Linked DNA regions of Arabidopsis thaliana. The protein of the gene in region 3 binds, or shares a complex with, the protein of the main gene of each other region. Each region holds a gene or a part of one and is shown on either strand. Other genes may lie near its edges. The genes, in order: SPC98, AT5G17410 and GIP2.

Region 1 (10,592 bases), on a different chromosome or scaffold from region 3:
AGCAGTTAATCAGTTGTTCACCTTTAAGTGTTCAAAGAGTGCAACAATAAACAGTTTATATAGTTGATTATGCTCCAGAGTTGAAGAAAAAGTAAGCTATAACCGAACATAAAATTACAGGATAAGAACAAAGATGTTATACCAGCTGCGAGAGGTGTACTGCTCCACCTTCATTATTGTCACCCAAGGGACTACTCTCTATAGTCTGCAACCAAACCAGTTATAACATCTTTCAAAAACTTTACTGATAGATATGAAAAGACAGCCAAACTGTATACTTACATTACTAAACAGGGGAAAGCAAAATCAAATAAATAAATCTATCTATGCTTTGAAAGAGAAAAATAAACATACCAGGGTAAACATTGTATGGCTTCGGCTGCTGAGCAAATTAAAACTTGTGGATCCAATATGTCGGTGCTCTGTCATCAAACGAAAATTTAATCAAGATGACTTGCATGATAAACATAAGAATGAAGAAAAAAAGTAGTAGATTTAAGAGAAGGATTAAGAATGAAGTGAAAATACTAGAATCAAGAAAGAGATGCTAGTCTTCAGAATTGCTATCTCATATCACATAAAATACCCCAACTGGTAAAGGAAACACTTTCTGACAAAGAAATCTTATGAAAATTTACATGGAAATGCCTACCTTCTCCAGCTGCTATGAGAGAAAGCACATGAGCAGGGGACAGAACAACCTCTTCTTTAATCCCTTCAATATAGGTTCCCTATAATCAGCAATAAAGAGAGAATCAGTGCAGAATTTAAGAGGGAAAGACACTTAATGCAATAGAGGTAGTCATGTTTATTCTAAAATTCTTAGCCCAACCAATAGTCAACAGGTACAAATCTAGTATACTTGAATAAAAAATGTGATCCAGAACATTCAAATATAGATAGATAATCATGCCACTTTGCACATTATTTGCAGGATCTCAGAGAATTTCATTTATATTAAAATGGAACAAGTACTTTCATGCATCTAGCCGAGAAAAGATGTATCCTCTAATTAAACAAAAATGGTGTGCTAGGATTTAGGATTCTATAATGAATATAGTCCCAACAAAGATATTATGAGACAGTGAAATCCGCGCTAAGCATGTTACCAACAGAAAGTAAATAAGAGGATCAAATGCTGAAACAAGTACCTGCTCATCTTCTCTGATCCTCAAATTTTGTCCTGCTGGATTCAACAAATCATTGACAACCTGAAGCAAAATGAACCCTAGGGATATTAAGAAAAATCAAAACCAGAATCTGACTATCAATCAACACCACTGGTAAAGTTGACGGGAGGGAAGAAAAGCAGGCAGTGAGTAGCACCTCGTTATAAATTTCAAAGTAGGAAACACGTAGGAGAAATTCTCGCCTTGGTGTCTGCGAGAAAAATGAAAAGTGTGATTTAACTAGCACTTAGGCCAGGACATTCGACTAATCAACATCCTAAGAAGTACCTCTTGTATAATGCTGAAAGCATCTTTCACGGCTAATGGTATTATACCAGGAGATCTTTGGTTCCCCTGACATTTGAACCAAACAAAACTTTCTTCATGAGATAAAATAGTTCTTATTTCATGCACATCTTTAAAGGTAAACATGGACTCTACAATGAAGTGTGTAAGATCATCCGGCATTAGGGCAGGGCCATGTATTGATCATGGCTGTCATAAGTGAAAAATTATAGAAGGTTGCAAAGTGTAAAGCAAAGAACTAACTTAAAGAGTGCAGCCATATGCTAAATTTAGTAAAAGAAAAGGCTTTCTAGGGTCAACAAAGAAACCCTAACTAGAAGGAATAGCCAAATATCTAATATAAACGATATATCTTAGGATTCAAACATCGAGTTCTATTGCTAATCATTATGGCTACTAAAGGAGAGAAACTTTGTTCCTGAACTACTCAGTGATTTAGCCAGAAAAGAAGGAAGAGGTAAATGACTCTCTGACAGATAAGCATTGTCTGGGATGACACATTGAAGTACATTGTACAAGGTAGTAACCTAATACGTTCTATTATAATAAGATGAAAAGCAAGAAATAACATGATTAGTGAATCTTACATGCATTGTATGAGTTTTCCCACTGCTTGTCACTCCATATGCGAAAATGGTCCCTGTGGTTGAATTAACACTCAAAGTCACTACAATAAAATCAAATTGGCAAGAAAATCTAACTTAAAGTTGTTCTAGAGACTAGAACAAGCACTAGATAGAGTTTGGCAACTCAAAGATCTCATTTTCTAAATGAATGGTCATGCAACTGTTCATGGTACTGTAGCTCGGGTAAGCTTGATACTAAAAATATCTTTTTCTCTTCTAAGAATAAAGTCTTAACTAGAGAGGGCAATAATAAGTGTTTAGTCCATACCATTGACCCCCGCCATAGCACCATTAACGACATGCTGAGCAGCAACATCATAGACATTGCGTGTAGTCGTAGTAGGCCCGAAAACACGATCTGCAAGAAAGGACAACAGAAATTTCAAGAAAAAATATGGCAGATTGGACCTTGATATCTAGTTTAATTTAGGTCTTGATTCATGATGCATGAAACTTCAATCCATTCCACAGAACAAGATTTATGATGGTTACAGAAACTCATGAAGTCATGAACACTAGTCAAACTGTTAAGACTAACCATAGGCATAAGCTATTGATTGATTATTCTCATTCCGCACTATCGTTTCCCCATCTGCATACCATGCAATCTCCTCTCCTTTCCGGATTTCCCTTGGACTAAGTGAAGCATAAACCAATGTCAACAATCCACAGAACAAACATATAAAACTAAAGTGTTTGAATCCTACACAAAAGAAATCAACATATTCACCTGAGTGGACGAAAACGCACAGTGACAGTGACATTTTCTTTGGACTGCAAAGGCTTAGGTGGTAACTGAGGCTTGCTTCGAACCGATGAAGAAGTAGGGGAGCTATGGCTATCTACAGACGCCTCTTGATAAAGTTTTGAAGACGAGGTTGTTGAAGATGCAGAGGACTCAACAGTCTTTAACTTGCTAAATCCACCATTTCTAGTCTTTGATACTTGTTTAGATCCCATCACAAAACCAAATTCAAACTTCGAGTGACTGAAAAAATGAAGAAAGTACAAAACTTTATCAAGTACAGACTGAAACCAAGCTAACGGAATTATGCTCGACTGTGTAATGAGCTAAAGATTCCTTTTTTTTTGTCAAACTGAGCTAAAGATTCCAAATTGTCATAGAGCAACTTGCAAATTGACAGGAAAGCAATGAAATTGGGAGTTTACAAAGCTCAATCGGTAAGCGAGTGAGAGAATCACAATGAGAGGAATAAGAGAATTACGGAAATGCCACGAGCTTCGAACACTTGGGTTAGGTCGAAAATTGCAATAAAAGAGAAGAAGAGAGGCAAGTGGGTACTAACTCAATGTAGCATCACCGCCGCTAAAAGCCGAATCGCATGCAAAGGATTATGATGATGCAAGAGAGAGTGAGTGATTACGTAGAAGAAGAAGAAGAAGAGGAACTTAAAGAAGAGAAAAGCATAATCATCATTAAAAGAGTAATTAGTTAGATGATTGCGATTGTTGTGTAAAAGAGTGTTTACTTTTTAATAATAATCTCTCGCTTGCCTTTGAAGTTTGAAGTGATAATACCCGAGTTTCAATTGTTTATTCGTTCTTCTCTTAAACTGTAATCACCAAAACATCATTAAGAGATAAAGATAAGAGAAGAATCGTATACGTACACATGTACAATTGTACGTATTTGCCTTCACGGATTTTTCTATGTCATAAATAGCTATAAACTTCTAAACTTTTGTTGTTGAATCAATTATGATTAGATAAGGAAGTAAATTGGTGTGAAAAAGATAAAGATATGGAAATGATAGTAAAGTAGTGTATATATATAAATGGTGTGCAATCTGTAACAAACAGAATATAGAGAAATTAATTAGTGAAAAAAGTAGAAAGTGATTGTTACAGGGAATATTTTTCCACATACGTAAAAATAGGTCTAATATTTTTACTTTTTAATTCCGATCTTGTACTTTTCTTTTTACAATTGATTAAAGTGGAAATAAGCTTCCTTTATTTTCATCTTCATTGATGAAAATAATGAGTAGAGAAACATTTTACTACCTAAAATGAGTAGAGAAATCATTCCTCTATTCAGAGAACAAATGTCTAAAATGAACTGTTTTTATTATTTTGCTCAATAAATACATAAATTTGGTAGATAAAACCAAATAATCTTTTTTAAATGCTAGTTAATTTTTTAAAAAAGTATACATTTTTATTGGTACCTTTTATTGTGAATTAAATATTATGAGGTTTTTTCATATTTATATATTTCTTTATTAATTTTAAAATGGAAAATTCTCAAAATTCCATTAAACAAAAAAATTCTACGTAACATATCAATTAACTTGTGAACTTTTTTTTAATTCAAACATTATTTTTCTCCGTTGTTTCAAATAATATATTTGAAATAAAACTTATAACAAAAAAAATGAGAAGATATTTTGCATAATGTTTTTTTATTCCAATGTTTTTGGATTTCAACATATGTATTCAATTGCCCGCCGAGGAAAAATAATTACATAGCTCTAAAGTCCAAAAGAAGCCCAATCTTTTTTTATTCGTTCACTCACTACTCTCTTCACTCGCCCAAACTCTGCAAAACCTCTTTCGATTTCAAAAATCAAATTCACCAAAAAAACTTCGAAGAACAAAAAAAATCCAAAAAAAGGTGAAATCGAAGAAGAAGAAAAAAAAGGCAAAAGCTTGAATTGATTATGGAAGACGACGATCAGCAGAAGGCTGCAGATCTAGTACAAGAGCTTGTTCTTCGTCTCGTCTCACAAAACCCTCAAACCCCTAATCTCGATCCCAATTCTCCCGCCTTCCTCAAAACCCTTCGTTACGCTTTTCGTATCCTCTCTAGTCGTCTTACTCCTTCCGTCCTCCCTGACGCCACCGCTATCGCTGAGTCTCTCAAACGCCGTCTCGCTACTCAGGGTAAGTCCTCCGACGCACTCGCTTTTGCCGATCTCTACACTAAGTTCGCTTCCAAAACTGGACCTGGCAGTGTCAATAACAAATGGGCTCTTGTTTATTTGCTTAAAATTGTTTCTGACGATCGTAAATCGGCTATAAATGGTCTTGATTCCTCGGTTTTGTTACCTAATTTGGGGATTGGTGATACTGGTAATGGGGTTTTGAGCCGTGGAGAGGCTAAGAAGAAGGATTGGAGTAATGGGGTTTTGTTGGTTAGTAAAGATCCTGAGAATTTGAGGGATATTGCGTTTAGAGAGTATGCCATTTTGGTTAAGGAAGAGAATGAAGTGACGGAGGAGGTTCTAGTGAGGGATGTTTTGTATGCTAGCCAAGGAATTGATGGGAAATATGTCAAATTTAACAGTGAAATCGACGGTTATGCCGTGCAGGAGTCTGTTAAGGTGCCTCGAGCTACGAGGATTATGGTTCGTATGCTCTCTGAGCTTGGTTGGTTGTTTAGAAAGGTTAAGACTTTTATAACTGAGAGTATGGATCGGTTTCCAGCTGAGGATGTGGGAACTGTTGGGCAAGCGTTTTGTGCGGCGTTGCAAGATGAGCTTTCTGATTATTATAAGTTGTTAGCTGTGCTAGAAGCGCAGGCCATGAATCCTATTCCTTTGGTTTCTGAATCAGCAAGCTCAAACAATTACCTTTCTTTGAGGAGGTTGTCGGTATGGTTTGCGGAGCCTATGGTGAAAATGAGACTGATGGCTGTTTTGGTTGACAAGTGTAAGGTTTTGAGAGGTGGGGCGATGGCTGGGGCTATCCATTTGCACGCACAGCATGGTGATCCGCTTGTTCATGATTTTATGATGAGTTTGCTTCGATGTGTGTGTTCTCCGCTATTTGAAATGGTGAGAAGTTGGGTTCTAGAAGGGGAGTTGGAAGATACTTTTGGTGAATTCTTTGTCGTAGGTCAGCCGGTTAAAGTCGATTTGCTTTGGAGAGAAGGCTATAAGCTCCACCCAGCAATGCTTCCATCTTTTATTTCACCAAGTCTAGCTCAGAGAATTCTGAGAACTGGGAAATCTATAAACTTTCTTCGTGTTTGCTGTGATGACCACGGGTGGGCTGATGCAGCTTCAGAAGCAGCAGCTGCCTCTGGGACAACAACTAGGCGAGGAGGTCTCGGGTATGGTGAAACAGATGCACTTGAACATCTTGTAACCGAGGCAGCAAAGAGAATCGACAAGCATCTGTTGGATGTTCTATATAAGAGATATAAATTTAAGGAGCATTGTCTTGCGATTAAGCGTTATTTACTACTTGGTCAAGGTGATTTTGTCCAGTACTTGATGGATATTGTAGGACCCAAGCTTTCTGAGCCAGCCAATAATATTAGTTCATTTGAGCTAGCTGGGTTTCTTGAGGCTGCAATACGAGCATCAAATGCACAGTATGATGACCGTGACATGCTAGACAGATTGAGAGTGAAGATGATGCCTCATGGCAGTGGAGACAGAGGCTGGGATGTATTCTCATTGGAATACGAGGCAAGGGTTCCATTAGATACCGTGTTTACTGAGTCTGTTTTGTCTAAATACCTGAGAGTGTTCAATTTTCTCTGGAAGTTGAAACGGGTAGAGCATGCTCTTATCGGAATTTGGAAGACCATGAAACCAAATTGCATCACTTCGAACTCATTTGTTAAGCTTCAAAGTTCGGTGAAGTTGCAATTACTCTCAGCCCTGAGGCGGTGCCAGGTCCTTTGGAATGAAATGAACCATTTTGTTACTAACTTTCAGTATTACATCATGTTTGAGGTATTGGAGGTATCATGGTCTAATTTCTCAAAAGAGATGGAAGCTGCTAAAGACCTCGATGATCTCTTGGCAGCGCATGAGAAGTACCTCAACGCCATTGTTGGAAAATCTCTTCTGGGTGAACAGTCACAGACCATCCGCGAATCACTTTTCGTCCTGTTTGAGCTTATATTACGGTTCAGGAGTCATGCAGATCGTTTGTATGAAGGAATTCACGAGTTGCAAATAAGGTGTGTTTTGTCTTTTATATTCAAACAAAAGTAGACCTTAAACTATTGCTCAAACATTTTCCTCTGATTTTAGGGTCACAATTTGATCTCTAATATCACCGATTTCCTGCAGATCTAAAGAATCAGGACGAGAAAAAAACAAATCGCAAGAGCCCGGTTCATGGATCAGTGAGGGTAGGAAGGGCTTAACACAGCGTGCTGGAGAATTTCTACAAAGCATGAGTCAAGATATGGACAGTATTGCAAAGGAATACACATCGTCACTTGATGGATTCCTATCTCTCTTGCCTCTGCAACAATCTGTAGATCTCAAGTTTCTCTTTTTCCGGCTTGACTTCACTGAGTTCTACAGCCGATTGCATTCCAAAGGATAAGAAAGTTGAAAGAGTATCAGGTTTAGTTGAAAAGCATATTGCACAATCGCAAGAGAAGAAGACATTATCTACGTCTTTCACTAACCGCTGACTGCAGCATGGGCTCTCCTGAACCAGGGATGCAGAGGTTCTTTTCTTAAAATCTAGGTGCGTGGGAGAATCTGTTTCTTATTTAGAGACTGCCTCATAGATTTTCTGTCTTTTGCATAGATTGTTTTTTCAATGGCTTGTTTCAAAGTTTAGGATTGGGAAACAGATTCTTTGTGTTGGTAAATTGGGGAAGGTTTGTGTTTGAGTTTGTGCTATAAGTCTGATGATCTCCAGCTTTAGTTTTTTTTCTTCTTCTGTGGTTCACTGATTTGTATGATTTGTTTTATGACTTGGTTGATATAAGAAGGAATCAGTTGCTTCTTCATAATGTGTATCTCCATAGTGTAAAAGGCTCCAAACTCTGAATTTTTCACTATCTAGAAGCTTCTGTAGCCACGGCCTGAGATTGAGCACAAGCATTAGCTCACAGTGATTTTAATCCGCAAGCCTTTCTCTTGCAATTAAGAAGAACCTTTGTGATACTCTTCCTCTCATCCACATTGATCTATCTCTGTGTGAATGAAGCATATGAACAACAAAAAACAAGTAGCTTTTGGCAAGAGTTACAGTCTCAAAATCTAAAGCAATCGTGTCCAATTTAAAAGAAAAAACAATTCACGGTTGTCGATTAATTTGCAAGTGCAGGCCAAACTGGAGGTTAACATATAAGGAAAAAAAAAAGGTGAAAAAATTCGTCGCCTGAGAGATTCGAACTCTCGCGGGGAAACCCCATTTACTTAGCAGGCAAACGCCTTAACCACTCGGCCAAAGCGACGATGATGCTCAATTAATGAATTGATTAATTTAATCGTTAATTGAAATTATTAGTATAAAATAGAAATCAAAATGTGAAATTTCTTCCAAAACATTAGCTTTTCATTCACTCGTAGAACTTGTAATAGAGTAGCTCATTTACTTGCCAAACATGGTTGTCTTCAATGTAACTACTACTCTGATTATGCTTGTCCTCCTAATTGAATGGTTGAACAATTGTACCTTGACTTTAGCCATTCTTAATTAACAAAGCTCAATCTCGACGAAAAGAAAAAAAAATGTGAAATTTCTTGATTATCAAAAAAAGGAGTTTTTAAGTTTGAAATTGTATAAAGAAAGAAAATAAGAAAACTGACTGTACATATTAATTTTTTTTAAAAGAAAAAAAAAAGGTAGGAAATGAAAAAAAAGAGAGAACTAGACAAATTTGTTGATCAATTCTCTAACTTCTTCGATGACAAGCCATCCTTTGTGACCTCCAATCACCTCCTCTTTCATCTCATCTTCCTTCCATAACTGCATTCACCACTCATTTTTCTCATTATTATGTTAATTTACTTTTTCACTATTACTTTATTGTCAAATGCGTATCAAGAAACTCAAAATACTGATGTTGTATTAGATGAAAGTAAGCATACCTGAATAGTAGGCATTTTCTGCATAACACACGAATATGGAAGTAATTGGTTCAGATTTGGCACATACCACATCAGAAAAGAAGGACAAAATTATGTTTAAGCATTTTACCGAAATGTTTCCACGTTTCACCAAGGTTTGAGGGACCTTGTTTACATCCACATAGTAAAACTTTGCTCTGTTGTAAGAAAAATCATTTTTGTTCACAATATAATCAACCTTTGCAATAACATCCATGTAAATTGTTGATTCTTTTGTTAGCTTACCGGTTATTATATTCTGCCGCTAATTTCTCCAACTTAGGCTTCAAGTAAATACATTTTCGACACCAAGAAGCCATCCTGCCCAAATATTTCTCACAATTCTTCATAACCAAACATATATAAAGGCTTTGATTGGTGTGTGGTTGAGTTGTCAAAAATAAAGTAAAAATCCGGCAAAATGATCTTGCGACTTGCGAGAAAAATATAACCTAGCAAGAAAACTACAAAAAATATTGAACTCCTTTGATATCCATCATTATAACAAAAGAGAGTTCAACAAACCAATCGGAGCCGGGATAAAAAAAAAACTTGAACGCATTTTTGTATGATTTTTTAGTTAACCTAATTTTTCCGTAAGTGTTGACCATGCTCTGGACTAGCTTTCCTATAGAGAACCAAATCTAATTTGGATTGTGGAGATTGGATAAGATATGATTTTGGTGTGTTTACCATTCGATGATGATAGGCTGAGAGAGTTGGCGTGCGTGAGAGAGAACAGCATCGAGTTCTTCAACGTTGTTAATGGGTTCCATCTCCAAAGTCGTAGGCTGAGCTATGTTTGACCAAAAGGCTTTTAGTCTCCACTCTTTCTCCATATGTGACCTCCCAAGCTTTTCATTACTGTAAACGCTCACACAAAACCCACACTTCTTCTCCAAATTTAAACTCTCTTTCCTCCACAATTGTTCCTTCTTGTTACCGTGAGCTTGTCTAGTTAGCATTTGGGGGTTTGATGCCAAAGCTGCCATTATTTTTTTCGCTTTCAGTAAATTTTTTGTCGATGAAGATATGTGACGAGATATTTTTAAGTTTTCAAATGCCATAATTAAGATATTTTTTTTGTTTTTGAAAGTTTTGGGAAGAGATGTGAGGAGATGGATAGAGAGCTTATCCGGAAGATGAGTTGGACAATGCCAACGATGTGCTACTGGTGGGGGCTACCTTTCTCTCATTGTCTTTATAATTTGTTTTAAAAATGTATATTCTTAAAATGTTAATAGTGACTTTATTAGTTTTCTCTATGAAAAAGGTAAACCCTGAACTTATAAACTCTAGGAAAATTATTTTGGCTGTTCATATTTATATAAAATTGTGTTTTTTTTTTCCTTTCTAATTAAACCTCGTCTAAATGTTAAATCAATCTAATTTGTTTTATTTTCTCAAATTTGGTCGCTCGGTTCCACAAAAAAAAAAAAAAATCGTTCCGTTCACATTCCTAATAATATTGAACATAAAATACTTGGAACAGAAAAAATCACTGCCTCAAATGGATTAGAAACGTTCAAAACTATTTAAAACTTTGTGTTAATCAGAAAACCAAATAAAGAATAGCCAAACTTGTGACGGTGCATTGATCTGAATATGATGCCTTGGGAATTCCCCACACTATTTCGTTAATTTTCTTGTCTTCAATTAAT
Region 2 (10,592 bases), on a different chromosome or scaffold from region 3:
AAGAATTGCTGTACCCTTAGAGTTCATAGACCGAATCCCCTGTAGAATTTTCACAGCAGTTTGTTAGCGAAGCAAAATGATTAAAATGGTTTTAGAAGAAACCAAAACTGAAACAAATTACAAGCTACACAATATTATATCAGTCCTTACTTGATGTATCTGCCAAGCACCACAAAGCTGGCGTTCCACATGTTTGCAATGAAAAAGAAAGCGGAAAATTAACTGGTACTTTGACAATGCTTTCTTTGATATGACAATAGATAGTGGCCATTGAACCTGAAACACAAAGCCACAACCAACAATCAAACAATTGAGTAGCCAATCGAATATGCATTTGTCGATTACTTATATAAGTATGAATGATGACTCTAGAAATGCATTAGTAGTTATATATAACAACCATTAATAGCCATTAAGCTGTGTTATTACTTATATATATCTCGACGAACAAAATAGTTCGAATCCAGATACAAACAGGTAGTTGCAGACAAGGCAAGAAAGGAGCAGACCTTGTAGCTCAAGGAAAATGTCTCTAGACCAGTGATGCTCATTGGGTCCTCAATACTATTGCTATCAGTGTCCTTGTGCATTCCCAAAGTCGTAAGCAATGAAGCTCGATCCTAAGATATGAATACAAAGTGAGAACATATAATGTACAAACTCTGTAAATTCATCACATCCAGGAAAAGACAAATTAACTGCTCACCACACAACAAGTCAAGTCTTCGTGACGAGGATCTGCTGCAGCCGCTGTGGTACGTAGAGCAAGATCTAGCAAAGACTAAATAATACACATCCATTTAGATTCCAGCAAACAAGTAGAGGCCATAACGATTTAATAATGGTAAGAAGCTTTGTCTAATATTTTGAATCATGCTCTAAAGGGGAAAAAAGTACCTGCAACTTTTCAACAGATATTTCATGCACTTTTTTGTTGAGCTCCTCTCGAGCAATGTCCATAAAATGAACCAAGAAATCACCCTGTAGTTCATTACATTGTTATACCAAAATCAATGACTGAAGAAAACAACTCAACAACAGACTTTTCACATTGATAAATTTGTGCCTAGGAAATTCTGAAGAACTCTGAAGATAACTGGTTATTCATGAACAGAACCAGCATACCTGGTCGAGAAGAAGATAGTGCTTTATAGATCGAAGCCTTCCAACAAGGTCATACTGAATCATATACTGATGGTCAGAGAGGTGTATTGACGAGGAACGACATCAAAGAAGCAGTCATCATAAAACAAAATAAGTATTACCTTATCCTTGATGAGATTCACAAGCTCTATACTGGCAAATTCGTGAGCAGCCTTTATGCATTCAAGATAATGATGATTTGACCCAAATATTGTTAACTTAGATCTCTCTGATATGGGAACCTGTTAAAAAAAATCAGCCAATGTCGGGTCCAGTGTCACAAACACTGTTAATTGTATTAATAAACAGGAAATTCATTCACAATCATACCTGAACATTGTGCCCACATTCTCTCATAACGTTTAGATATTTCCCTGTGGTCAATATTGTTGCAGCAATGTTTGCTAGGAAGCCAGGAATAGTATCCTTAAGGCTGTATCTTTGGCTCCAATATTTAGCTGTAGAGTCCTGACTGAGGCTCTCCTGTACAAAAAAAAATTGACATTGTTAGATCAAGCAATTAACAATAGTGCAGACGAGCTGAGCAATCGAAGTACCTTTTTGAGAGACCTGTTCTCGGCAATGAAAAATTCCCCATACGGATCATCAATGATCCCTTCATAGACCCACCTTAATTAAACACTATTTAAAGTTAGTTGACACATCAAAGAATAATAATATAAGCGATCTAGCAAATAGGGTAACCATGTACAGATCTGCCAAACCAAAAGATAACAAACATGTTCGCTAATCACTCCATCCAAACAAAGGAAAAACATAGTCACAGGTTGGACTTAGATTTATCTGAGCATTCCAAGCAATAACAAAAGGGAAAGGGCAGAGATTGTAGCACAATGTTTTTTTTATGGGAGTCTAGTTACGAGCAAGAAAGAAAGAGGCATGGTAATCAACCTTTCCAATATGCTTAGGTATGCGTTGCTTGCACACTCCGTCATTTTCTCTAACAATGACCTCACTGAATTATCACCAGCCATCGCTTTAGCCTAGGCATGATAGTCTTCAAGATTAGGACATTTAATAAAAAAGCTAATTCTAGTACCAAAAAAATCCAAAAACTTTTAATGACCAAAGCAGGAATCTACCTGACTTTGCAAGAGATTAAGAACACCAGAACCCACAAACTGCTTCGTTGAAGCCTGCTGAATTACTGCAGCCAATGCGCGCATGGATCCCATCATGGGCTGAGAGATACGAAAAACAATCGATCAGCATAATGTTTACGTAACTTGTAGCTTGGATTATTTGAAGAAAGACAGACCTGACAGTAAAACCATAATCCTTGGATAGAAAGTCTTCCAAGTCGAAATTGATGTTCCAATTGTGCCACCATGGCTTGATAATCCTGGTAAAAGAGAGGATGGTTAATACTAGTGTAACAATAGCAAAGAATGTTGTCAAATTACCTCAAAGCTAACATAAAATGATATCCTCAGTCCAAAAAATGCATGACATGTGTTAGACACGAAACTCAAGATGTGAAATGGAAAGAAAAGAATCAGACTATCAGTTTATTCAATGCGGCAATAGTAAGAGAGGGATTAGAGAGACAGTAAGAACTTGGAACAAAGAAGACAGTAAGAGCTATATGTGTCATCTTAGATATTCATACATATGCATATACACACACTCAGAAATGTGATAAAAAAACACCAATTCAGTGGACAAGAAAGAAACCCAATAAACAAACTAAGAGCATTCTAAAATGAGCTTTCCAAGTTCATATTTTTAGTTTACTGAGTAAATCCCCAAACTTGACTATTAGTTAAAAAAATCCATATCCAGTTCGCAAAATCCCCCATCTGTAACAGAAAGGGAACGAAAAATAACTCAACAAACAATGGATCACAATTTCCACAAAGCTAGCAACCTATATCACATACAAGGAGGAGTGCCCTGAGTGCAGCCGCGAATGCATGGTTAACTAGCCCGTTCTTGAACTGCGAGCTTGACTCCACAAATTGGTCAATCAGCAGATAATATTCACATAAAGGAAATATTCTTTTCGCCAATTCCTGCAAAATTATTTGCAACGGTCAATATATATGAGAAGAGCCAATTAAATAAAGAATTACAATGTTAATCCGTTATAACATCTCTAAAAATCCTATTCAAAAGAGAGAACCATCCTAGACATAACATAGTAATGCATGTGTCCATTTTATTGGACTTCGGAGATAATTGAACTTTCAAGAAGTCAGAACACCAATGAAATGCATCAAGTTTCATAAACATAAATATACACTTTGCAAACATCACTGTAACAGTCTCAATATGTGAAAGACTTTGTACATACATGATACATATGCACTAATTCCGGTAGCTCTAAGAAAGAACAGATCAAGCATGGTTAGAAATCACAGATTTTTTGCAGTTGACTACTGTAGACCATCATGATAAAAATGTTTGGGATAGGAACCAAAAGTTATTGTGTTGAGTACTACTTACCTGTAGTGCCAAATCCATTGATGGATCAACTTGGAAAGCTATACTATCCTCCTTCCCATGGAATCTTTTAATTGAAATATATCTCCCTTCAATTCCAACCAACGCAGATAAGAGATCATCAATGACGATAAGCTCCTGCATGCCAAAAGGAATAAAAAACAGTTACTGAAATGGACATAACAAAAGAGGTGACACCAATTCTAAACCTAGGCTAGGAAGTTCCACAATTGTTTAGCTCAGGTCAATTATCCTAGTCTATGCCACGAAAACGAGAAACCAACTTCACCTACAATGATGCCAACTTGTAAAAACTACACAACTCAAACCCAAGCTTTAAGGACCCCAACACTAGTTTCAAGGTTACATAATAACAATCTCACAGAATAAGTGGAAGCCAAGAAAAAAAGGGACAGACTTGCTTTGTAAAATAACACAAACCTGAACCGGTGTGTCATAGCAGCCAATTGCCTGCTCTACTCCAGAACTGCTGAAAGCAAAATATAAAGGTCAATGACTCTTTAGAATAAGATGAAAAAGGAACAGACTTTGGGAGGTTAAAACAGAGATGTATTACTAATTTTTAGTATAAAATTTCAAAATACCTAGACGAGTCTAAAGTAAACCTCTTAGAATCAGCAAACTTGGAGCTTGCCCTCGTTTCCTGAGATAAACCCATTGTCAAAACTACTTTTTCTCAGAAGTTACCAATGTTCACAATTAAATAGAATTTGAACGAATTAGAGAACTAAAATCAAGCACATCTGAAGATCGAGCACCTGATGGAAGCGACCAGTGAGAAATGGTCTGTCTTGGTTCCAACGAGGAGTCGTAGGGCACGAGATTGGCGTCATTGATTCCATTGCTTCGCTCCCAGTCTCTGGAACTAAAAGTTTAAACCTTTATGAAAAAGAAGACACAGATCAGTCAGACAGTCACCATATACCGAACCATCTCCGGTTTTCCTTAAAATGTCCGGTTTTAATTGAACCAGAAATTTCCAGATCCTGGTTTCAAATTCGAAATTAAAAAAGGACAAAACCATTTTTTTAAGTAAAGAAAGAAAAAACCAGCCATTGCTCCTGCCCTGTCCTCCACCTCCAGCTTTGAAATTCACAGAAAATGATTATCTCTTTTCTATTTTATTGGCTTCTCAAAACGAAATAACGAAATCGCCTCCTCTTCTTCTCCTCCTCGACCTGGAAATCAATCTTTCGCCGCCGAGTTCTTCTCTCTGCGGCGGAGAATCAATTAGCAATCTCCAGGTTTTTCACTTCAAAACCTTTCCTTTTATTATCAAATTTTGTTCCTTTTTAGCTTTAGGATTTGATATTTCTAGAACCCAGAAGAAACTCTTGCCCATAACATCTCTATATTTATTGGTATAGAATTAGGTGAGGGAAAAGAGGATGGCTTTGATCGGAAAATCCGAGAGATTCTCTGCTGATTTTGTGATGGGTGGTGCTGCAGCCATTGTTGCCAAATCTGCAGCTGCTCCAATCGAAAGGGTGAAGCTTTTACTGCAGAATCAAGGGGAGATGATAAAGACTGGACATCTCATAAGACCTTACACTGGTTTGGGTAATTGCTTTACCAGAATCTATAGAGAAGAAGGTGTTTTGTCCTTTTGGAGAGGAAACCAAGCCAATGTCATACGATATTTCCCTACACAGGTACTACATTCCAAGAACCCTTACTTTAGATCAGCGTGCTGAGGTTTGTGTTAGATTCTTATTGTCACTAAATTTAATTGCTTTTAGGCTTCCAACTTTGCATTTAAAGGTTACTTCAAGAACCTTCTTGGATGTTCGAAAGAGAAAGATGGTTACTTGAAGTGGTTTGCTGGAAATGTAGCTTCGGGAAGTGCTGCTGGAGCAACAACTTCCTTGTTTCTGTACCATTTGGATTATGCGCGGACCCGTTTAGGCACTGATGCAAAGGAATGTTCTGTTAATGGCAAGAGACAGTTTAAAGGGATGATCGATGTGTATCGTAAAACTTTGTCAAGTGACGGTATTAAAGGTCTTTACCGTGGATTTGGTGTGTCAATAGTGGGAATCACTCTTTACCGAGGAATGTATTTTGGGATGTACGACACCATCAAACCCATTGTGTTAGTCGGTTCCTTAGAGGTAATGTCATCTATGTATGCCGTTATTATTTCTTAATCTATAGCAGAAAATAGCTAAAAATGGTTCTTTGATTCCGTGACAGGGAAACTTCTTGGCTAGTTTTCTATTGGGTTGGAGTATTACTACCTCTGCAGGCGTCATTGCTTACCCTTTTGACACACTTAGGAGGAGAATGATGCTTACATCAGGACAACCTGTTAAATACCGGAACACCATTCATGCCTTAAGAGAGATATTGAAGTCGGAAGGGTTCTATGCGCTATATAGAGGAGTTACTGCGAACATGCTTCTTGGAGTAGCAGGAGCAGGAGTGCTTGCGGGATATGATCAGCTTCACCAGATTGCTTATAAGCATTGGGTTCAGTAGTTTTGGACCAAACCCGAAACGATGACAATGAAAGCTGAGCTCAAAAAGAGAAGGTTAGTAAACACCAAGAAGTCTCACTTGCTTTCCAATGTATTGTGTTAATTAACAGAATCTCGGAATCATTAACCGATTGAACCAGCAGAAGATAGGGAAAATTGTTCATAGTTCTTGTGCAGTAACATTGTTATATCAATAATCCAAGAAAGGCCTATTTGATTTTTGTGTACTGGAGCAAGTTTGTTTCATGTATAAAAGATGAAATAGGTGAAAAAATTTTAAAGCCTTATGAATGATACAAACACAAAAGAGGAAAACTTGCGTTGTTGTCAAGCGAGAAGCCAGAAGTTTTTGTGGCGTTTGGTGGTGATTAAGTAACCGCCGAGCTTGCGGTTCTTGGGTTTAACCGCGATTGTCATGCAAGAGGCGTTTTCGAGGCAGTATTTGAGAACACCTTCGTGTCCACGGCGTCTCTTCCACGCCCATCTCTTCAATAGCCTCCAGACCGGAGGTTTCTTCTCTTGTCCAACCACTAAAAGGCTCACTTGTTGTTTCTTTGATTCTTCAACTATCTTCTGCCCTTTGTCTTTGTCTTTCCCCTCTAACCTCCTTATCTCCACTTCTATCTGACATTCATAAAAGAAATCCACACGTCGCCAGAATTTGATCAGAACAGTAATAGTGTAGCTTTCATTATATGTATAAACAATCGAATACCAAGTGTGACTCACCCCGGGTCGTTTCGTTTGGCACAGTTTCTTTAAAGTATGGACCAATTCATCGGTTTTCACCTCGCGTTTTCGGTTCTTCCTTTTACCTAAAACTCAATCCGAAAAACCTCATTAGCCAAACCAAACAAACCTTAAACAAGAAAATTGACAAAGAGGAGAGAAAGAGAAGAACTTTTTCTAAACGGTTTTGCAAAGTATAACAGAAAAAGAGTGTCTTGTGGTTGTAAAGTATGCGTAATAGCCCATTCTAAAGCTCCGGTAGAAGCAAGCGCTTTATCAACCACCACCATTACTCTATTCCCGCCTTCCGCCTCCTCCTCAACCGCCTCAACCGCTGCCACCGCCTCTTTTTTTCCTTCTCCGCCTCCAATGTTAAAGCTCTTGGCATCATCTTGTTCTTTTTCTTCTTCCTCCTCTACAATTACTTTGACTCTTTCTTCTTCCTTATCTTCAACCTCTTCACTTTCATTGTTTGCTTCTTTGGTGTCTTCTTCTCCGGATCCGGCATCATCACCATTTTCGCCTAGAAACTCGATTCTTTGGTCTCTCTCTATGGAACTCGAGTCCGGTTTGAACCTAATCGAAGGTGAATTGATCCGGACTCTTCTTAGACTCAACTTGGCTGATTTCTTGAGCGATCTCGCCATGTTTTTGTTTACAAAAAGAACTCAAATGGGAACCTTAGCATTGGTTCTTGAATGTTTTGAGCGTATGTATACGTGAGGAAATTTTTTGAGAGAGGACGTGCGTGCCATTAAAGATGTTTGATTGTTAATGGTTCCACACGTTGTTGTTTTTTTCTTTTTGTCAAGCTCTTCTGTTTTCTTCATTAAATTAAACGAGTCCAAGTTTATTTGATAAATTGTTAGCTCAATCGATTGTGGAATTCACTACCGTTGGAGAAAAAAAAATTTATTTTGTAGACTCGCAAAATCATGAGAAATCTTTGAGTGGTGCTCTAGTTTTGTCGTGGTCAAAATCATCCACTTTGTGTAAAAGAACAAATCCAAATTTGATTTGTTTTCTTTGCTAACTACAAAACAATTCTAGTGGCAGCCCTCAAGGGTTATACAAGGTCACTTGTTCCAAACCATGAACTCATAAATTTATCATTTTATCACATCCAAATCCAAATTATTGAGAAGATTAGGTAAGTAGGAGTCGCTAGTGACCAAAACCAAAGATATATTTTATTGAATCACTAAATCACAATACCTTTGTAAATTAAGTTATCTGTCATACTACTTTGTTATTGAATAATGTAAGTTGCCAAAAATAAAGAAATTCATGTATAGTTTGGTCGTATAATCAATTTGTTGAGAATTTTACTATTTGCTACGTAGATAACTTTTAAATTAGCAAAACACACATAATTACGTGTACAAGTTTGTAGATAAAATTTTCAGAGAACACACAAAATGCAAATAAAGAAGTCAATAATAGGCTAATAGTAGCATTAATGCAAAACACGTAATCACAGTAAGAGTAAAACACAAATACAAAAGGCTATATAAAGAAACTAAAGCAAGTAGAAGAAACTGAAACTTTGAGCAAATCCAAGAGAACATGGCGGATAAATCAGAAACCACTCCACCGTCAATTGATGGCAACGTTCTCGTGGCCAAGTCACTCTCTCATCTCGGCGTAACCCACATGTTCGGCGTCGTTGGAATCCCCGTCACGTCTCTAGCTAGCCGAGCTATGGCTTTAGGTATACGTTTCATCGCCTTCCACAACGAACAATCCGCTGGTTACGCCGCTTCAGCTTACGGTTACCTCACGGGTAAACCGGGTATCCTTTTAACGGTTTCGGGTCCGGGTTGTGTTCATGGGCTCGCGGGTCTTTCCAACGCTTGGGTTAATACATGGCCGATGGTGATGATCTCTGGTTCTTGTGATCAGAGAGATGTTGGTCGTGGAGATTTCCAGGAGCTTGATCAGATCGAAGCGGTTAAAGCTTTCTCGAAATTATCAGAGAAAGCGAAAGATGTTCGTGAAATCCCTGATTGTGTTTCTAGGGTTTTGGATCGAGCTGTTTCGGGTCGACCCGGTGGGTGTTATCTGGATATTCCGACTGATGTGTTGCGTCAGAAGATATCGGAATCGGAAGCTGATAAATTGGTGGATGAGGTTGAGAGATCACGGAAGGAAGAACCGATTCGTGGATCTCTGAGATCGGAGATTGAATCGGCGGTTTCGTTGCTGAGGAAAGCTGAGAGGCCGTTGATTGTGTTTGGTAAAGGAGCTGCGTATTCGAGAGCAGAAGATGAGCTGAAGAAGCTTGTTGAAATTACTGGAATACCCTTTTTACCAACTCCGATGGGTAAAGGTTTGTTACCGGACACACACGAGTTCTCGGCGACTGCGGCGAGGTCTCTTGCTATTGGGAAATGTGATGTCGCGTTGGTGGTTGGAGCTAGGCTTAACTGGCTTCTTCATTTCGGAGAGTCGCCTAAATGGGATAAAGATGTAAAATTTATATTGGTGGATGTCTCTGAGGAAGAGATTGAGCTAAGGAAACCTCATTTGGGGATTGTTGGAGATGCTAAAACTGTGATTGGATTGTTGAATAGAGAGATCAAAGACGATCCTTTTTGTTTAGGGAAGTCTAATTCATGGGTGGAATCGATTTCGAAGAAGGCGAAAGAGAATGGTGAGAAGATGGAGATACAGCTTGCTAAAGATGTGGTTCCTTTCAATTTCTTGACTCCTATGAGGATAATCAGAGACGCTATTTTGGCTGTGGAAGGACCGAGTCCTGTTGTGGTATCGGAAGGAGCTAATACAATGGATGTAGGAAGATCTGTTTTGGTTCAGAAAGAGCCAAGGACAAGGCTTGATGCAGGAACTTGGGGAACTATGGGTGTTGGTTTAGGTTATTGTATTGCTGCTGCTGTTGCTTCTCCTGATCGGCTTGTTGTCGCTGTTGAAGGAGACTCTGGTTTTGGCTTCAGCGCCATGGAAGTCGAGGTAGTAAAAAGATTTACATACTTATTAGCATAATGTGGAAATTGTCTTTTGTCTGAACTTTTGTCTTTAATGATGATTGCAGACATTGGTTCGATACAATCTTGCTGTGGTGATTATAGTCTTCAACAATGGTGGTGTCTACGGCGGTGATCGAAGGGGACCTGAAGAAATCTCCGGTCCTCATAAAGAAGATCCAGCACCAACATCATTTGTTCCTAATGCAGGCTACCACAAGCTCATTGAAGCCTTTGGAGGCAAAGGTTATATTGTGGAAACACCCGATGAGCTTAAATCCGCTCTCGCTGAGTCGTTCGCCGCAAGAAAACCCGCGGTGGTAAATGTTATTATTGATCCTTTTGCTGGTGCTGAGAGTGGGAGATTACAGCACAAGAACTAAAAAGCTTTGTGGAGAGTCCCTTTAAATAATGTTGAAGTTGTTTGTTGTGAACAAAAAGGATATACGTTTTAGTTTTCTGTTTTTCACTATTGTAAACCGGATCATAAACCGGTCCATTTTAAACCATAATTGAATAAAAACACGTTTCCGGTTCAATTCTTAAAACCTAAAGCTATTTATATGGCGCATGTTAGCCTTTAATGGTGTCTGATGAGAAAGAACACAGAGAACAGAGTCGACTCCAAGTCCGACACAACATGAAACCAGGTCTGAATCTTCTTCCTCGACGGATTCTTCTATTTTCGATTGCGTATCCGAGATTTTGATGTGGGAATTTGGTTTATCTTTGATTTTTTTTTTTTTCAGAACTTCCTGGGTTTTATTACGACGAG
Region 3 (10,264 bases):
TAAATCTTTTTAGTATTATTAATAAACAAGACCTCTCTAACCTAACATTTCAATCAACTATATCTAGAAATAAAAGACAAAATAATGGTCCACACACGTACACACACACATATATGCTAGTACCTTTTAAAAGATCTATATATTGGCCTACATATTTAATTTATTAGTATGTATTGTTTAATTTGTGTAATAAGGATATCAAATTATTTGTTAATATAAAACAGATAAGAGTGTTTTATAACTCTACTCGTTTTGGTAACGTGACCAGGTAAGACAAGAAGTGGAATATGGAATTAGTAAACGATTTCGATTATCTCGGTCATCGTCTTTCCGTATCGAAGCTCCGGAGGCGACTACTCCGACACTGAAGCTAATTTTCCGTAAGAACTTAATGACACCAATATTTACAGGGAGTAAAATCAGTGACGTGGACAACAATCCACTTGAGATTATCCTTGTTGATGACTCAAACAAGCCGGTGAATCTCAACCGTCCAATCAAACTAGACATCGTTGCTCTTCACGGAGATTTTCCTTCGGGTGATAAATGGACTAGTGATGAGTTTGAGAGTAACATCATCAAAGAAAGAGATGGGAAACGGCCGTTACTTGCCGGAGAAGTAAGTGTGACGGTGAGAAACGGCGTTGCAACAATCGGAGAAATTGTGTTCACAGACAATTCGAGTTGGATTCGTAGCCGTAAGTTTAGAATCGGTGCGAAAGTTGCGAAAGGGAGTAGCGGTCAAGGCGTTGTGGTTTGTGAAGCGATGACTGAAGCGATTGTTGTTAGAGATCATCGTGGAGAATGTAAGTTTATTTTTCTTTATTACTAAATATTTTACCTAATTAGAAATTAATGAATATATAACAAATAAATCTATGCATCATATATAATGAGTTTTGTGCATATATTCATTAAGCAGTACTCCACTAGGGGATGTGATAGTAACATATCACTAGTTTCAATTATCTTTGACCTGACCACATTTGGCATCTTCTTATGGATTACCCTACTATCAATCATACATAACCTTTAAGATAATCATTTATACAACACATGTGCATCAGAAATCCATTAAAATGATGTTTTGTTTTCGTCAAAATTTATTTGCATAATTTCGTTTTCAAATTTATTAACATATCAATCTATATTGATGCTTTTGGCTTTATCTTCTTAAAAAGAATCTTAGTTTTTCTAATTAAACACTAGTATAGAAATATAAAATTTTTTGGGTATTACAAAATTGTTGTATCTTGTCATGATATGTTTTGGGCTTTTGGCTACAAATATTAACTATACTTGCTTTAATTTGTCTTAATATATATACACATTCAATTTTTAATTCTTAATTAGAAAAAAACTACTAAAAGTATTTTCGATGTGGACCGTATGCAAACGACTATCCCACTTTATACAAGAGCCTATAAGTCTTTGGTCAATCAATGCTTATATCGTATTAATTAATACTCTGTATATTTTCCGAATCTTATAACAATCAACAAACACATGCATAAAGCGAATACATATAAAGAAGATACATAGTAGAAAACTAGATATAATTCTAAATAGTTTTGTTTTGTACAACTTGGGGTTGGTGAAGTGTACAAGAAACATCACCCACCAATGTTAGAAGACGAAGTGTGGCGGCTAGAGAAGATAGGCAAAGATGGGGCCTTTCACAAGAAGCTCTCCTCTCGCCACATCAACACTGTCCAAGACTTTTTGAAACTATCCGTCGTTGACGTCGACGAACTCCGTCAGGTTTAAATTCTTAGCTTATTTGACCCCTAAATTTTTATTATTATTAGAGAACTAATAGGAATAGGGGTTTGTTGATGTACAGATTCTGGGGCCTGGAATGTCTGATAGAAAGTGGGAAGTAACATTGAAACATGCTAGAGAGTGTATTTTGGGAAATAAGTTATACATTTCTAGAGGACCGAATTTTTTCATGATTTTGAATCCGATATGCGAAGTTATGAAAGCACTTATCGATGGTCATGTTCTCTCTAGTCAAGAATCCCTCAACCAGGTATTGAATGGTCATTTTCTCTCTATTAAAGAAGTTAAGCAATTATTGATAGCTCAATGATTGTTTATTAGTTAGAAACTGTATTTATTTTTTTAATTCATCTATGGTAATGTTTTGTTGCAGCCCTACGTTAAGAACTTAGTTCGAGATGCTTACTCAAAGGGGAACTTTTTAGAAGTGGGCGAACGAACAGCGAACGAGGCTGCTCTTTTGACACAAGGTATTACTTTAAAATAGTGTCAACATAAACACCATTTCAGTTTTTCTATAATTGCGAAACATCGTTGATTATATAGTATGTTACAACAATGTAATTTTGATTATATAGGTGATGATTTGGACCAACAATATGCTGCGAGCCACTACCAAAACATCGAAATCGATAAATCATATCAACAAAACGGATATGTTCAAGAGAGATCTACAAACAATTTGGAGATAGTAAACGAAGGGTATATAACGACTCCAGCGGAATTCAATATATGTTTCACCGGATCTTCGTCTCAAAATCATATAAACCCTTTCTAAATCCTCATCTACGTTAGTATTGGAAGACACGCCATAGTGCCTTGGCCGAGATTGGACTCTTTCTAAATAAGGGTTTAAACTTTAAACTACTACTACGTACATGATGGTAAAACATGTATTCTAGATCTGCTGATCATGATTGTACATAAAAGTGTGAAGTTTAGAGTTATATTTTTAGTTGGATGGTATACCACTTGTTCACGTTTTCACAGTTGTATGAAAACGTTGTTTTTACCATTCACGTTCAACAAATTTTTACGTTTTTACGTTTTAGAAAAATTGATTCCGCTGTATATGTACGTACTTGATGAAAGTATTGACTAAAAAAAGAAATCAAGAATATGAGGGTAACTTTGTGATTTACTTAAAGAAAGCCTCTCAAAAGGATTGAGTGGGGATGACTCAAATACTTATTACCAATTTGTCTCTGAAACTCTCTATTCAATTACCTTACCAACCCTAATTTACACATCAATAGCATAATGAAATTGAAACTTAGAAAACAAGCATGAATGATACTATTTGATTAGGCATCTTCTTAATCAACCGTAGTTGTTGTTGTAGCAGAATCCCTACGAAGCTCCTTGACGAGAGTAGCGAGAGCCTCAGGGTTAAGACCAATATCGCAAAGAGCTATAAGAACAGACAAAGTATGTCGATCAAGACCTGTCTCCAAGATGTTCGACATCCGAAACACCAGCTCCAGTGACTCTCTCGCTGTTTCAGCTGCTTCCTGATTCATAATACTCTGAAACCACCAAACATCATCCAGAACAAAAAAATATCAATTTCGGAAACGATTCAATTTACATATGAATATCTACTCTATTCTTGTACGGATCTCCATGGATGTACAGAGAATGGAAACCCTTAAAGTGGAAATCGGAGACTTGCCGACGGATCAAGAGATACATTAGATCGGAAAAAGGTTAAGGAACAAAACGAACCGATTAATCGACGGAGAAAACGAACGGCGTCGAGTTTGAGAGAGAAGAAGTGAGATCTTAGAGCTTGAGATAATTGAGAGAAACGATTCTCGATCTCGTGATCGAAGAAGAAGAGGCGAAAATGGGCCAACAATTAGAATTTAGAAATCTAGGGTTGTTTTTTTTAAGAAAATAAACCTTTGGCCGGTTCAGAGTATATTTACTGGTTCATATCAAATCGGTCGGTTAAATAAAATCCGCCGGTTTTAATACAATCGAAGTCTCTGAACTAGTTTTAATCAAGGGATTCTTTTTTGTCGGAATCAAGGGATTCAAGACCTTGTTATGATTAATTCGGCCAAAATTGACAAAATTGCATCCAAATTTAGAGACTTATTTTGTAGTGATATCCTTGAAATTGGAACTTTTAACTTTTAAGTAGCTTATGTTAGTCGAATTATCCGAAATTTCTTAAAAACATATCAATGTGAATATGTGATGATCAAGATTTATTCCTTGACGACAAACACATTAATGGAAAGCCAAACTCAAAAGTAAGAAACTTGAAGTAGAAAAACCATCGATGATGAGCGAACAGAACAGAACACCTTTTTTGGTCTTGAAAGCAAGAAACAGAACATCGAAAACTAGAACGAAATACTGGGACTAGCATTTCGGATACGGACAATGACAATCAGTGGCGATTATTTTGGCGTTTGGGGAGTTAAGGAAAGATTTGAAGTTAGGGTTCTTCAAGTACTGGCAGATACAATGCTGTTGCTCCTTCACCTTGCTGCAACACAGATCCGATGGCTCAGACCCTTTCATTATGGTCTCCAAGCATGGACTCAGCTGCGCAGGATTACATGGATCTACTGCAGCGACTCTGTTTTCTTGGGCAACAATTAAAATGAGAAGGATTGTACAAGTGAAAAACACTGGTTTTGTGCAAGAACCCTTCATTGTCTCACTAAGTTATAGAAAGAAGAAGAAGATATTTGGTTTGGAGTTTAAAGTGGGTTTCTCTCGTTCTATTTATAGAAGAAAATGTCTTTGAGTGAGTCACGTTACTCAAACGAGAGTTTGTGGTTGCAGGAGATCTCGATATGTCTAAAAGAGATTAACTTTTTTCTAAAAGGCTCGGACAAAGCATAAAAACACCTAGGCACCATTTTGGAGAAGTTATGAAACCACGTGTAACCAAAATAGATGTCAGCTTTCGGCTACCCCCAGTGAAGGTATATGAATTTGTTGACACTTAAACAAAGTAATGAGAACACCTTCATAATTATATATTTTACTTCATTACTATTGTACTAAGCACAAAATATGACTTAAATTTCTAATTATATTCAAAAGGCAGAACTTACAGCCAACATGGACCAAAAACTGATCTGTTTCCATTCACTAGGCAGTTGCTTCCTTTCAAAATCTTCAATGTAGTGCATAAGTCTGTGGCCCAAAACCAAGACCAATTAGAGTTCATTGATCACAATGTTAAACATATATCAGGCCATGAAAGAATAAAAGAAGATAAGCTGCAGTATATATTAAGTTTACTCAGACACTTTTCTAGAATCCATATTCTCCATGTGGTATCAGCCACCAAGGTTTTCATACTTAGCACATAATGAATAGGATAAACAAAGCCCAAGACACATGATTAAGCAAGCAATCACACGCTTAAAGATTAAATAGTCTCTAACAAGCACAGTGTTAGAAAATCTCTAAAGTACTAAATAATTTGTATATCCATTTAATCAAGTTATACAAGTAGAAAATGCAAAATGTGACAAAAAAATAAGAGACTGTAAAATACAGAAGAAAATGTTCTCTTTGCGAGTACCGTATGGTGCGAAATCCAAAACTTACCATGTGTTAATCACTTTCAGAGTAAGAATAAGACGAGCGATTAGCTTTCAGGGCATCAGTCTTAATATTGACATCAGACAAGCCAACATCATTGAAACCATCAAACTCTACATCGGAATCAGACGAATCACCATCTCTCAAGTCATCACTCTCAATATCTGAATCAGACGAATCACCATGGCCATCACTCTCAATATCAGAGTCAATATCGTCAACCTTATGTGCATCGTTAACTGGATACTTACGCACCACATCCATCACTTCATCATCACTATCATCGTGCTTCCCTGATAACTTCCTAATCATCAATGCCTCAAATAAATCAGGTATAGCATCCTCATTTCCATCATCCAAAAAGCTTTGAATTCTTTTTTTCAGCTCTGAAATACCAATTGGATTAAGAAAGTAAGCAAAATTATAATCTTTACATGAAAAATTATGAGCTGATCAGCTAACTCTGTCATTGCAAAATTCTCTTCCTTTTCATTCAAAACTGTACATTTTCTTGAGAACCAAACAAAAGAAGTTGAGTTGAAGAAATGTCACCTTCTTTAGAAAGAACCTCTTCAGTTCTGAAACCACGCGACGAGTCGGACTCGGAAGAGAAGAAGACGAACCGGGAAATAGCTCGTTCGAAGAGAGGAACAACAACACGAGGGTTGTTGATTCTCAAATGGCGGAAATTTGCGGGTGAGTGAAGGATATTTCGAGCCAGTAAACTGGGAACTCTCTGCAGAAATCGTCTCATGGGATTCGCCTCAAGACTAGGGTTTATCAGAGGATTAGGGATTTGAATCAAGAGCCAATAGTTTTTTTTTTTAATCTGTTAACAGATTAACCGCTCTTCTTCGTTTCCGGTTTTCATAACTGATCAGACCGGATCGGCCCGAGATGACCTGTCCGTTTTCATTGTCGTTTATGGAACAGCGCACATACAGGCCCAGCCCATTCTAGCCCAAACTTCAATTTTCGCTCAAATTTGGACGACTAATCAGTTATGTGACGCACCAAATATTTTCGACGATTTATCACCTTTTATTATTCCTTTAATCTCGATCCAGCAAATCCGGACCAATATTCTTTGGATACTTGTGTGTGGCAGACTCTTTTATGTATAAAATATACAGATTTATAATTTTGTGGCGGTATAAACAAAAATATACTACTAACCTGTGACTTGTGATCCTCTAATGTTTCTTTGTTTTTTCATACCTCGAAATAAATAAAAATTGAAATACCTCTGACAAAGAAAAAAAAGTAAAAGTTGACACATGAGAGCTTTTCTATTTATACAAGCAAAAGACAATAAATATCCTCAAATCTATCTTCGTTTCTGACCAAAAAAGTGAACCCAAAGCAATTTTTTTTTTTTTTAATCAAGTCAAATCTTGATACTTTGATAGGAAGTAAGAAAAAAAAACAGAGGGGTCCAACTCTACAAAGACCGGTGAGAATCTATTATAGCTACAAATACCTATTTTACACTCACATCTCAAAATTTCAAACATAGCAACAGTGCTAAAAGCCTAAAACTCTAAAGTAAAGTATAAACCACACATTTACATGTGAGTATGTGACATGTGAAAGAAAATATCTAATTTGGTTACTTGTAGACTTCAAACACAAACTAGAGAATAAATGAAAAAGTAGAATTTGATTAGTTAACGTACTAATTACTTAAATTAGTTTCACTAATCCAACTTAAGAAAGCCCTTTCACTTACCTTCTTCCTCGCCCTGTGTCTCCATTATCCTCTATCTCTCTTTTGTTTTTTCTCTCTCTCACAGAGAAAAAGAACACAATGCCAGTTTCTGCAGAGCCTTCTTCATCTTCTTCAACAACAATCGGTCAACACATGAGACTCCAACGACCTAGGAATCATCGAAATCTCCCACCCATTTCCACCGCCGACGAACCTCTAATCCCCAAACCTAGCCGCGTCTCTAAATCCGCCATGTCTTCCTTCTTCCTCTTGCCAGAAACTACTAAGAAGAAACCCAACGGAACGGCGTCGTTTCGTGGTCTAGGCTGCACAACCTCCGCATCTCAGCAAGTTTCAGTCCCGGCAGTGATTCGCTCCTCCGCGGATTGGGATGCTAGTAATTTCAAAATTAAGAAGACGAAGAAGAAGAACAAGAACAAGGGTAGTAGTAGCTACAATGGTGGTTCGATTAAGATCTTGAGCGAAGCTAGTACTAGTAGTAGCGTCGCTTGCGCAGCGATTCCTGATGTTTGGTGTGGTCCTGGAGTTGGGTTTTCAACGGATGCTGTCGTCGGAGGCTCCATTGACACAGTTGTTTCAGATCCTCCGAGAAGGAATATTCCGGTGAGACGCAAAATCGATGGAGATAAAACCAATAGTAACAGTAATAATCATAGAGAGGTACATTTACATTTTCTGTTTTAATCCTAAAGTTTCCATTTTTATTATTCTTTGCGTGTGTATGTTGTTAATTTGATTTTGAGTATCTATTGAAATTTAGCTTAAATATTTAGGGTTTTTAATATCTTAAGTTAGTTTATAATATCTATAGAATATTTGATTTGCCTCTATCTAGTAGTTAGCACACTTAGCAAGCATTAGTTTTTTTTTTCTTTTTTCCGTTTTGATTTAGGTTTATCGTCTTTTCGTATCTATAACAAAATTAGGCTTTGTTCTTTGATATCATATCAAAAGCTTCTGTGGATTAAAAGTAAGTTTTTTTCAGTCTGTTTGTAACTGATGAAGTTTTTCTAGTAGTTTCAGTATGAGGTTTGGATTTTTGTGTTCCTAAATCTTTTAACTCAACTGTTACATTGCAGGGTTCTTCTTCTCTTCTTCCTAGACGATCTCTCAATCAAGAGTCTAATCCTTATTTTGATTCTGATTCGAGTTTTTTGACATCGCGGGCTGAGCAGACTGATAGATATCATCGTCATCTAAGACTGCCTTACCCTGATGGACTCGCTGAGGTAGAGTGTTGCTTTTGACTTAAGTTTCATATGGAGCTTGTTCCAATATGTATTTTTCTTACATATGGGTGTTTCATTGCAGATGATGATGATGCAGAATGGTTTTGTGATGGGAGGAGTATTAAGCTCATTCGATCAATTCCGTGACATGAGGCTCAATGTCGATAACATGACATACGAGGTTGGTAGTGCCTTTCTCACAAAGTACTAGTAAAGAAGCTGATGATGATTTCACTAGGTTCTTGAGTGTTGTTGTGTTTGTTTTGTTGTTAAAAAAAACAGCAACTTTTGGAGCTTGGTGAAAGAATTGGGCATGTGAACACTGGACTTACTGAAAAACAGATCAAAAGTTGTCTTCGGAAAGTCAAACCATGCCGGCAAGATACAACAGTTGCTGATAGAAAGTGCATCATCTGTCAAGTAAGTCCATTTTTGGCTTCATTGCTCAAGTAATCACTAGTAGAAAACAGATTTGTTCCTTAAGAATGTTGATGTTTTGGCTATTGACAGGACGAGTATGAGGCGAAGGACGAGGTAGGGGAATTACGATGTGGGCACAGGTTCCATATCGACTGTGTGAATCAATGGCTTGTGAGGAAGAACTCTTGTCCGGTCTGTAAAACGATGGCGTACAATAAGTCTTAGTTAGATATTATCTCTTCCTGTGATGTGATTCTTGATTTCGGGATTGAAACCAAATCACTATTTTATGTTAAGATTCTTTTTTGGCTTTTTATTCATGATTGCTATTTTTCTGAGGAAAAACTGTTGAGACCTTTGTATTACCTATGGAAAAGTCTCGGAGACATTGTGAACCCCACATTGCGTGTGGGTTTGTTCATCTTTTGTTGGTGATAATTAGGTCGTCGACTACAAAAATGTTAGGTAGATCTAGTATTTATATTAGTCACATGAAAATGATGAGATTGTTACGTGCAAGTAACATCGTTTATCTTTAGTGTAATCTACACATACACGAGATCAATTAAAGGTATCATTTGTATTTAATTTGTATACAGTGCTTGTGAGTTTAACTGTATGAAGATTTGTACACATAAATGTATATATGGAATGTTATATGTACAGAAACAAGAATCAAAATTCATTTGCATTCTTGTTGATCTTAACTCTCATCTTGTTGTTGAAGAAATCTAGTAATCAGAGGATATACTTCGTTCCGAGCCTGTAGGGAGAATGAAAGGTTGAATACAAAACCGACCGATATGACTCGTAAATGAATGAAGAGGTGTTGATCATAGTACATACCGTTCGACCCGAAATTAGATCCTGGTGGCCATAATGTGGACCTCCGGGTGATCCTACAACTTTGTAAGTGGCTAGATGTTCTGGAATCAGCTTTACAGTATCTGTCTCATCAGATCAACACCATTGCACACCGGTTATTGATTACAACAATTAAGAGAACGAAATCTTGAATTTGCGGTAAGAATATGTCAAAGAAAACTACCGTATACTGCATCGGGAGGGCAGATTATGTCCCAGTCCCCTGCAAGAGCTAAGATAGGCACATTTGTTTTGCTGATATGATCCTTGTAACAGAAAGTACCGGTTCTGTCACGCAACCCACCGTGGTCCACGGCTGTTGTTAGCTGCAAGAGAAGCTTGACTGGTACTGTGCCTGTTTTAGTTCCAGGGCAAATGTTATGGTTATGCCTAGTATTAAATATGTGCAGAAGGTTGAGACAATGTTAAGTAGTTTGTACTTACATAAGCTGTTCAAAACAAGCTTCTCAATAACTTCAGGGTCCATCATTTGAGGAGCAGAGATATTAGCGGTTAACCAGGACAAAGAATATGGAGGACGACACATTAGAGGGTGAGCCATAGCGAGCATTGTGTCAATTGGCATGATAGGAAGGTTAATAGCTTGTGCAGGCTCTTTCTGAAACAAAACGACATATAAGATAAACTTTTTCAGTCATATTTCTCCCTT

The links.
Region 1: GIP2 (region 3) and SPC98 share a complex: the UniProt entries of both Arabidopsis thaliana proteins name them as parts of the gamma-tubulin complex.
Region 2: GIP2 (region 3) and AT5G17410 share a complex: the UniProt entries of both Arabidopsis thaliana proteins name them as parts of the gamma-tubulin complex.

The regions. Positions count from the first base shown.
Region 1 is NC_003076.8:2,051,959-2,062,550, forward strand, and holds SPC98 (spindle pole body component 98), read left to right. Parts: upstream 1-4,569; 5' UTR 4,570-4,782; coding exon 4,783-7,037; intron 7,038-7,149; coding exon 7,150-7,411; 3' UTR 7,412-7,901; downstream 7,902-10,592. Other genes in the region: AT5G06670 (P-loop containing nucleoside triphosphate hydrolases superfamily protein), read right to left, coding at 143-205, 355-422, 653-731, 1,152-1,211, 1,327-1,380, 1,458-1,523, 2,063-2,142, 2,370-2,459 and 2 more; WCRKC1 (WCRKC thioredoxin 1), read right to left, coding at 8,894-9,089, 9,178-9,252, 9,625-9,998. UniProt on the Arabidopsis thaliana protein: Gamma-tubulin complex is necessary for microtubule nucleation at the microtubule organizing centers (MTOCs). Required for the positioning of the gamma-tubulin-containing complex on pre-existing microtubules and for the proper organization of cortical arrays.
Region 2 is NC_003076.8:5,724,528-5,735,119, reverse strand, and holds the start of AT5G17410 (Spc97 / Spc98 family of spindle pole body (SBP) component), read right to left. Parts: upstream 4,511-10,592; 5' UTR 4,470-4,510; coding exon 4,386-4,469; intron 4,271-4,385; coding exon 4,212-4,270; intron 4,097-4,211; coding exon 4,048-4,096; intron 3,745-4,047; coding exon 3,610-3,744; intron 3,177-3,609; coding exon 3,045-3,176; intron 2,507-3,044; coding exon 2,423-2,506; intron 2,346-2,422; coding exon 2,247-2,345; intron 2,148-2,246; coding exon 2,056-2,147; intron 1,774-2,055; coding exon 1,701-1,773; intron 1,627-1,700; coding exon 1,474-1,626; intron 1,386-1,473; coding exon 1,266-1,385; intron 1,180-1,265; coding exon 1,126-1,179; intron 982-1,125; coding exon 898-981; intron 782-897; coding exon 707-781; intron 621-706; coding exon 510-620; intron 277-509; coding exon 151-276; intron 40-150; coding exon 1-39. Other genes in the region: ER-ANT1 (endoplasmic reticulum-adenine nucleotide transporter 1), read left to right, coding at 5,016-5,279, 5,367-5,738, 5,821-6,105; AT5G17390 (Adenine nucleotide alpha hydrolases-like superfamily protein), read right to left, coding at 6,432-6,728, 6,834-6,919, 7,006-7,480; AT5G17380 (Thiamine pyrophosphate dependent pyruvate decarboxylase family protein), read left to right, coding at 8,400-9,803, 9,886-10,200; AT5G17370 (Transducin/WD40 repeat-like superfamily protein), read left to right, coding at 10,401-10,467, 10,567-10,592. UniProt on the Arabidopsis thaliana protein: Gamma-tubulin complex is necessary for microtubule nucleation at the microtubule organizing centers (MTOCs). Required for the positioning of the gamma-tubulin-containing complex on pre-existing microtubules and for the proper organization of cortical arrays.
Region 3 is NC_003070.9:27,738,057-27,748,320, reverse strand, and holds GIP2 (mitotic-spindle organizing 1B-like protein (DUF3743)), read right to left. Parts: upstream 3,673-10,264; 5' UTR 3,508-3,672; exon of another isoform or gene 3,309-3,507; 5' UTR 3,303-3,308; coding exon 3,099-3,302; 3' UTR 2,892-3,098; downstream 1-2,891. Other genes in the region: SARD1 (Calmodulin binding protein-like protein), read left to right, coding at 269-806, 1,601-1,761, 1,844-2,032, 2,156-2,252, 2,361-2,560; AT1G73780 (Bifunctional inhibitor/lipid-transfer protein/seed storage 2S albumin superfamily protein), read right to left, coding at 4,153-4,449; AT1G73770 (coiled-coil protein), read right to left, coding at 5,365-5,738, 5,905-6,106; AT1G73760 (RING/U-box superfamily protein), read left to right, coding at 7,160-7,741, 8,161-8,310, 8,393-8,491, 8,593-8,730, 8,821-8,955; AT1G73750 (alpha/beta hydrolase family protein), read right to left, coding at 9,469-9,677, 9,779-9,949, 10,039-10,213. UniProt on the Arabidopsis thaliana protein: Required for gamma-tubulin complex recruitment to the microtubule organizing centers (MTOCs). During mitosis, modulates gamma-tubulin complex localization, spindle stability and chromosomal segregation. Necessary for gametophyte development and embryogenesis.